Xenopus tropicalis: one gene and its partner. The protein of the gene in region 2 interacts with the protein of the main gene of each other region in a biochemical or structural test. Links are inferred from orthologs where the notes say so. Each region holds a gene or a part of one and is shown on either strand. Other genes may lie near its edges. The genes, in order: pawr and dapk3.

Evidence for each region.
Region 1: of the proteins of dapk3 (region 2) and pawr, one has a biochemical effect on the other in vitro, tested with the Homo sapiens proteins (2 studies listed by BioGRID). The link is inferred for Xenopus tropicalis from reciprocal best matches to the Homo sapiens genes DAPK3 and PAWR.

What each region holds. Positions count from the first base shown.
Region 1 is NC_030679.2:62,535,138-62,539,538, forward strand, and holds the start of pawr (PRKC apoptosis WT1 regulator protein), read right to left. Parts: upstream 3,065-4,401; 5' UTR 2,775-3,064; exon of another isoform or gene 2,690-2,774; intron 2,603-2,689; exon of another isoform or gene 2,453-2,602; intron 1-2,452. UniProt on the Homo sapiens protein: Pro-apoptotic protein capable of selectively inducing apoptosis in cancer cells, sensitizing the cells to diverse apoptotic stimuli and causing regression of tumors in animal models.
Region 2 is NC_030677.2:93,134,368-93,138,923, reverse strand, and holds the start of dapk3 (death-associated protein kinase 3), read right to left. Parts: upstream 2,806-4,556; 5' UTR 2,762-2,805; coding exon 2,700-2,761; intron 1-2,699. UniProt on the Homo sapiens protein: Serine/threonine kinase which is involved in the regulation of apoptosis, autophagy, transcription, translation and actin cytoskeleton reorganization. Involved in the regulation of smooth muscle contraction.

The DNA of each region.
Region 1 (4,401 bases), on a different chromosome or scaffold from region 2:
CCTAGTTATTAATGTAATTGTTTAGTAATATTTAAAAAAATAATTAAATAATAGAACAAATAACAGGTTTAAAGGGGTGGTTCACCTTTAAGTTAACTTTTAGTATGTTATAGAATGGCCAGTTATAAGCAACATTTCAACTGGTCTTCATTATTATTGCAGAACAAATCCTGAAATAATTAAAAAACTACAAATAAAAAAATAAGACCAATTGCAAATTGTCTGAGAATCTCACTTTCTATATCATAATAAAAGTTAACCCAAAGGTGAACAACCCCTTTAAGTGTGATGTTCATCTTCCTAAATTTGCCCTAGCCACCAGGAAGTGGTTTGAATGAGAGAAAGGAAGATGAATAGGTGAGTCGCTGAAGAGAGATATAAGCAATACAAAGTACCAATGCAATTGAAGCATCCCAGAGCAATAGTTTTTTTTACTCCTAGGGTCAATATCACTCATATGCAAGCTGGAAAAAGACAGAACTCAAAAACTATTAAAAATTAAATCCAATTTAAAGGTTGCTAAGAATAGGACATAACATATCATACTAAAAGGTAAACTATGCCTTTAACAGCTGGATATCAGGCTATTGTAAAAAAAAAAAAATGCCTTAACTGCTGAAACAAAGTAATGTATTGCTTGTCTCTGAAGTAACAAGGATTAAATAAATCAAATTTACAGGGAGGAAGCAAGGAAAAGAACAGCCTTTTCCTTAACAATGTTTTGGTGTCCCAGAATTTAAAGATAAGCAAACCTCCACTCAGCAGCCAAAAAAAAATCATGAGAACTGGACATCAAACGCACAGCTTGTTACCAGCTTAAGGGGCATATCTGAATTGTGCCAGTAATACAAAGCACATGCCGTTTCTATTCAATTTTCTGCTGCCATCACAACAATCAGATCTTTTGCCCTGTTGCATGTGCCCTTCCTTATCCAAAACCCTGACTACAACTGCAGCTATTTGGTATACAAAGGTACTGATGCTGTGCTGCTTGTTTCGTCAAACTGAAAAGCATCTGCATCTTCATTTTCCTTATTCTCAGAATATTTATTTTTTACAATAGCATTTTTTTTTTTACAAAGCTACAGAAAAGGGGTAATTGTTGTTTTGCGGGCGGGGAGGGCGGGAGAGAGCATTCTGGCCACTGCTGAATTGGCTGCTCTGTCGCTCTCATCTGAGCTAACACTGGCTACTCTGTCAGTCACATCTAGCTAGGCAGCAACAGGTACATGCTGTGGCTTGTTTCACATGACAGCTACTATTGCACAAAGCTTCAAATGTAGCTGCCAACTCCTGGGACCTATCTATGGGCACTTCTAGCTATTCTTTCATGACCCTACAGTCACATTTGCAACTACAGCTGCTTATTTACCAACAGGTTGTGTCCTTGATTCTTTCCAATAATTCTGTGTTTATTTCCCAGCATGACAACTTTGCATGCTAATAAACGATCACAAACATTTGTGCCTCAAATCACAATTTTGTCAATGGTGGTTATTCTATGGGTGGACAGGGCTATGCCTATATTACACAGTTAGGTTGAAGACACACTGAGCTACTAGTAGCAGCTACTTGTCGTGGCTACTAAAATAGACAATGCTGATCATTTACTGATAATTTTCTGTGTGTTTTAGCAGAGGCAATTCTCAGTATTGTCTATGGCAGGGTGTTTTCTGCAGTTTAGTAGCCTTGAAAAAGTAGCGGCTACTAGTAGCCCAGTGTGTCTTCACCCTTAAAAAGGTCTGGGTATCCTATGTGTAACACTTGTCAGGTAAGGAGCAATTGCCAGACTGAAAACAGACCACACTGGCCAGCACATGACCACTAATAAGCTGCCAAATGGGTGTAGGTTTATGAAACAATACAATGCCAGACTGTGGTACCTGTGCCAATGCATACCACGGCCCCATAGAAAAAAATAATTTGGAGTGGCTTGTTAAATGTCAGACAACAAAGCTCCCTAGTGACAGATTATTAACAGCTAGCCAGCACAGAGCAGCCTGTCACAGCAGCAGCACGTCACTGAGCAAGCCATTAGCCACATTCCCTATCAATCCACTAAAGGAGACAAACACTGCATTGGTATATATGTGTGTATTGGCATTTATACAGTCCTACTTATAGCTGTACATTAAAACAAATCATTAACAGAACCCACTGGGAACAATACAATCATAAAATATAACCACGAAAACACAATGACAGAATATTAAGAGACAAGAAGGTCCCTGCCCCACAGAGCTTGCAATCTAAGCGGGTTGGTTAGCAATGTAAGCACGATTCTGTGCCCCAGAGCTCCCACCACTCACTTTGTACCTCAGCTCCAGGCCTTTGAACGTTTCAGATCAAACCAATAGTTTATAGTCAATGATTTGCCCTTCAAGCAACAATTTCTTTGTAAACTTTTGCCTGATTACAAAATAGTTCTGCGCTACAGAAACTGCTCTCCCACCTGATGCACTTCCCTGCGCTGCTCCAACACTACAATCCCTAGCATCGCACGGCAGCAGCTACAAACACCGGGAGCTGGAACCCAACAACAGCTGCTGCGCCGCAGGTTAACTACAGCGCTTAAAGGGAGCGCATCAGTAAGTAGCAGATAAGGCAAACTTATGGTAGAAATAATAATCCCCCCACGAAGTGAGCTGCCCCAGGTGGGCCGGCAAGTTGGCATGAGCGAGCCCATTACCTGCGCTGAGCGGGGGGAGAATCCAATGTGACACGAGTTCGGAATTCCCAGGACAAGGTGCGACGCCTCTCGCTCCTTTACTCACCTCTCCAGCTCTCGCTCGTTTGTTCGCTCAGTCCCTCGTCCCGGAAGAAGCCGAGACATTCCGATCAGTTCCGTAGATGGCCGATCTCCCGCGGGCACAGGGAGGCGGGCTTAGAAATCGTAACGAATGTTATCGAAACTCCCTCGAACTAAGCAGACGGCTTTTGACAAAAACTTCGTTAGGCATGGGAGACTCCTGTTTGCTGTAGGAATACTTTGCAGTGCGTTGCGCATTGGTCAGGGGCTGCTGGAAGCTGTAGTTTCGGCTTCTTATTGGACAGTGGGTCAGACAGTAGGTCAGGAAGCTGTGAGTTGCTTGGAAGGAATTACCTGTGCAACTGAACCCACAGTGGGAGGGACTGGGGTACCGGTGAGATTCCTGAGTGACATGGGTTAGAGCTTGCAGCTTGGCTAGGGTCGTGCAGAAATAGAGGTCTGACCTAGAGAAATAGAGGTGTCTGTGAGACTTTAGGGGGTCTGCTCTGCCTAGAGTTGTGGCCCCAGCATGACAATAAACCATTACTGGCCTGGGGCAGGTAACAGTGGCTACCCTGAATCATGTCTCTGGAGATGTACATTGCATTTCTAGGAGCAGGGTACACGTCTAGGGGCCCATTCATGAAACCACAAATTTTCACTAGTTAAAAGCACTATTGGAAAAAATTCGGAGTAACCACGATAATTTCTGATGTGCGAAAATTGCAAGAAAATTCTTTTCTTGGTCGTATGAAAATTGGTGGTTGCTATCCAAAAGTCACTAAATTTTCGTATCCATTTTCGTAAACCTTACTGGTTTTGTAACTTCATGTATAATTTTAGAAGCCTTCCATAGGACTCAATGGCACTCTGCAGCTCCAACCTGGCCAAAAGAAAGTCACAATACTGAAGCTTGAATGAATTCCGAAATGGTCGTAGTCTTTGCGAAAAATACGACTTTTTCATGGAAGATAACGCAAACTGTGAAAAAGTTGCATAATTTTAACAACATTATCATGGTCATTACGAAAAGTTTTATAAATTAGAAAAAATAAGTTTTTTTTTCTGGGGAAAATTATCGTGCTTTCATGAATGGGCCCCCTAATCTGATCTGGGTTGTCCCTTGCCCAGCATTCTTTGTGCCATTGTTATTAACTGAAAAAAATAAAAAGGAGGTATTTTTTGAGAAAATGTTTAACTGTTACAGTGCCAGGTGCTTCATATGACTGCCATTCAATTGTTAGCATTTTACATTCTGCTTAGGTGCATGATCTGATACATTAAACCCTAGAAACTCAAAGGGTTCTCTGTTATGTGAAAGTAAGGCCGTGGGGCACTTGCACACCTGCCTTAAAGTAATTTAGGTGCCAAAGATTCTGTATGAACTGCCTGCTTTATTGGGCAATGATTGCTAGGCTGGCAAATAGCCGTTGGCAACGGATGCAGCATAAAGTGTCCTGGTTTGGTAGCACAGCAGGGGATATTATTTCATCTATTTACACAAATCTGCCCAAGTGTGACACCAGCCACAAGAAAGCAGATTCATGAAATATATATGTACAATATACAGTCAGTGTGTAAAAAATCCTATTGTTTAATGTTTAAGTGTTTTTTTTTTAGTAGACTTAAGTTTATGGTGATTTAATAACAAA
Region 2 (4,556 bases):
CAACAACAACAACAAACATTTGCAAAGCGCTTTTCTCCCGTGGGACCCAAAGCGCATAAGCTTGTCTCAGATAAGTTATGTGGCCATAAATGCCAGGCTAAACAGGTGGCTTTTCAGTTTTGATTTAAATGTGTCCAAGGTTGGAGCTGTCTTGATCCCGTTTGGCAAGGCGTTCCACAGGGTAGGGGCAGCATGACAGAAAACTCTGGATCCAAAGGTTTTCAGTTGAACTCTGGGGGTGGTCAGATTATTGGATCCATTTGATCTAAGATTGTGGGAGGTGTGACGTAGTTGCAGCAAGTCCTTCAGGTATCCGGGGCCCAGGCCATGTGGGGATTTGAATGTTAGCATCCCAATTTTGAAAAGGATTCTCCATTTTATGGGTAGCCAGTACAGTGAGCGAAGGATTGGTGTTATGTGGCAATGGCGGGGTTGGCTGGTTAGCAATCTTGCGGCAGCATTCTGTACTAGCTGCAGGCGGTGTAGTCTTTATTTGGAAGGCCTGCATAGAGGGCATTGCAATAGTCCAGTCGTGATGAGATGAAGGCGTGAACTAGGGTTGGAAGAACCTCAGAAGGAATGAGGTGTTTAATTTTTGCAATATTCCTTAGGTGAAAGAAGGAATGTTTCACCCCAGCTGAAATTTGGCTCCTGAAGTTTAATTCCCCATCAATTAGTAAACCCAAGCTGCGCACAGTGTTGGAGCTAGCAAGATCTGAGGTCCCTAACCTCATTGAATATACATTTTGACTCTTGTTTTAATCATGAAAAATCATGTTTTCATTGAAGGGATGTTAGACACATGGTCCAAACACAGGCAAAACACAAAAAGATAGCTGTGTAAACAGGAGAAAAAAAAAAAAATAGAGAGATACTGGCATCAACTCTGTTGATGTAATGTTTGGTTGAACTAACATTAGCCGGGGTCACCATCATGTAGAACAATACATTTAGACTGGTGGGGTCCAGGACAGCAAAGATTTTATGTAAAAAATTTTATAGCTGCAATATCTGGTCCAAAGTGCTGCTTATAGGCCTGGACAGATGGTACCAATAGGTACAGTTCACAGCTGACAAGGTTATCTGATCAATTGTATTTATGCTGCACATTTGATTAAGGTAAACAAACAACCATATAGATTGTAAAATCAGTTACAAATTTTTACCTTTACATTTTATGTATGGCCAACATAAAGGACAAGTCAACCAAAAATATAACTTTTTGCCAAATAAAAAGAAAACATCATTCTAACCAACTTTACAATATGCATTCATTACAAATTTGCAATGGTTTTTGAATTATTTGTATATATAATTGCTATAAGAGTAGTGTCTGCCTGTCCTTTTCTTTTCTCTGCCCTGGTGGCTCTGGCATTTGAAACAATGTAACACAACCCAGCAGATTTTACAGACCTGACTTGCTGGAGGAGACTGACCTTTTCAACATTGTTTAAACAGTAACATTTACAAACAACTTTTAAACTAGTAAAAAAAGTTAATTCACACTGAAAAGTTGCTTGGAATAATGGTTTATTTTCTTAAGCCAAAAAAAATTATTTTGGGGGTTTACATGTCCTTTAAAAGAACATTGCAATATTTTTCTACAATGATGAAGCTGGATTCTGGTCTTATTTTTCTCCGCTTGAAGAAACTAATCTGCTGTTTTTATACTGCACACTTTTCAGCCATCTCCATACATATGCTATCCCAGGGATTTTAAACCCAAGGGCAGTGGCCACAGGGTGTTTTCTCCAGCCATGTTCTGTCACTGCTCCTAATGATACTGAATGCCAGATGCCCCAGTGGAAGCACTCAAAGCAGTGCAGGTAGACCCCAATATTAAAACACTCATATTGGTGTTTAGGTGCAGAGGTATACCTGTCACAGCTCCACGTACATCAGACACTTCAGCACTTTACAATCAGAAGCATTAGGAACACTGAAAGGATCATTTTGTCTTTCTGATGCAGACAAAGCTTGTGCCACAGCCCTCCGGTATTGGACACAAAATTTGGTTCCCATGGTCACCTTTACTATAGTTCAAATTCTTCTTACTACAGATAGTAAGCTCTATGGGGCAGGGACCTCCTTCCTACTGTGTCTCATACCACATGGCACTTATATATATATATATATATATATATATATACATATATGTATTTATTGTATTTATTTATTATATCACTCATCCTCCCTGTGTGTAATTTTGTATTCTGTAAGATTGTACAGCGCTGCGTACCCTTGTGGCGCTTTATAAATAAAGTTATACATACATACAAACATAGTACAGAAATGTGTACAATTAATTCTGCACAAATCAGAGCTGCAAAGTTAATTCCTAGAATAACTCTAGGTTCCTATATGAACAACACCAACACTCACTAGGATTTCCATTTAGAGGTTCTCTGTACAGAACACCCAGAAAGCAGGCCATTAGAATTTAAGCCCAGTCATCTCAATACTGAGTGTATATATGTGTATACCGAATAATTTCATACAGTAGCTGGCTCAGGGGAATTATTATTTAAATGAAGAAATTACCACAGACAAAATGCTGACGCTTTAAAGACCAAGGGGGGAAAAGGCGTTGGTCAAACATCTAAAACTAGAGGTACATCAAAGTAACGTGACGCGAGTAAAATCAAATATTAACTAAAATTATAGCTAGAGCATACTTGTGGAAATTCGACCCTGCTCACCTGCCCAGTTCCTCTCCCATTTCATAAAAGTCATCGACATTTTGCTGCCGGAATCCGCTCATTCTGTCAAAAAATAAAATCGGGACTCCTCTCCGATCGATTTCTGTGCTTCAACTACCTCTCCCAAGCCCACTCCTCCCTATTTCCGGCTTCCAGTTACCGAAATGCCTGTGCAATGACGTCAACCCTGCCCAGTTCGCAAGCTGATTGGCTGTGAAGTAAAGAGGCGTGGTCATATGTTTACTTTGTCCAGGTTGTTGTGTCTACAGTTCATGAATGGTCCTGTACATCGGATTTATAAAAGGCACTGAAGAGGCTGCCGACCTTTCATGGATTTACGAGTTGAAAGAGAAAAGAGAATAGCGTAGAGCGCTTTACGGATCACATAATGTGGAGGTTGGTTGAAGAAAGACTGGTATCCATCAGGTTTCACCTTTTTTGCCTGTGGAGCCTGCCTAACAGCTATGATAGCTGTTAGGCAGGCTCCACAGGCAAAAAAGGTGAAACCTGATGGACACCAGTCTTTCTTCAACCTCACCTACTATGTTACATTTTATACAAAACTCTTCACCTAAAGAGATTATGTATGCTTAATCAAGACTTGTAAAATATGCATATAGAGAAAATTAATTACCCTTTTATTTTGAGCACCACATTGAGTTCTGTGTGCTGTCACTGACCAGAAAAACATAAGTTTTAAAAAAAATTGTGTTAGAAAGACATAGTTCTTTGCATCTCATGGATGATGTAATCCATCATATATGATGAGGAGAAAAAAATTAGCCCATCTTTTTTTAAAATGCTTCTTCTTTGGTTTTAAAGCAAAAACATAAACATCAGAACTTTATATTTGTATTTTTTCCTCCTCAGAAATACATGATCCTGAAGAAAAAGAACTATAATGGTCTGACACGGGAAACTATTTCTTAACTCACCCTTAGGCTGGCAACCCCTTCAGACAAATTAGCAGTGTTTGTGTAACACTATTTTGACTTAGATAAGGCAAACCCAGGCTAGTAGCGTAATGTAGAGCATGTGTTACATGCAACCCTTAATTCTTAGGCATGGGCCTCTGCTAAGTGGGTGAAGTACTATGGAGCTGAGGGTGTAGTTGAACTACAACATGCTGAGGTTGTGTGGTGTGATAGTATAAATGGACGCCAGAGGATTCTTATGGTGAACTATAATACAGTTTTATTGTTACACACCACAGGTGTTAAGCAGGGTAATCACATACTCACAAGCAGTTGATATAGAATGTCACAGTGGTTAGCAGCAGTTGTGACATACAGAGACAGTGTAGCCCACAATGGATATATGCAGAGGTAGTAGCCAGGAGTCCCAAGATGGATGCCCTTTACTGGAACGGATCCCTACAGCCAACGGTGGTTCAGGGGTTAATACTAGCCTGAATCCTTTGTCTTAACTGTGGTCCCTACAGCAAGGCATACAGAGCCTGGGGTAGGCTAAACCCTTAGTGTCTCCTTTGGTGGGGCTAATGTCTGCCCTTTCTAGCTAAAACTGACTATGCTCACTTCTCCTAGAGAGTGCTATTAAATATTCTGCTATGCTTGCTTATCCTCGTTCACGGGGCCCTGTCCCCGACTTTCACTAGAGGTATAATGTCCTCTAGGGTACAATGGCTTCTGGGGCCTACAGTCTGCTCCCAGACTCAGATGGAGCTCTGCTTGGGACACAGCATGCAGCCAAAAGAGGCTGAGCCACTCCTCCTTGCTAGACACTATATCAGTCTGCAAGGGGAGTGGTCAACCTGCACTAAACCTATTAGGGATAGTGTTAGAACTGTAACTCAAGTACAGGGGTTCTTACCCAATAACAATAGAGGTGTGAAGAGGT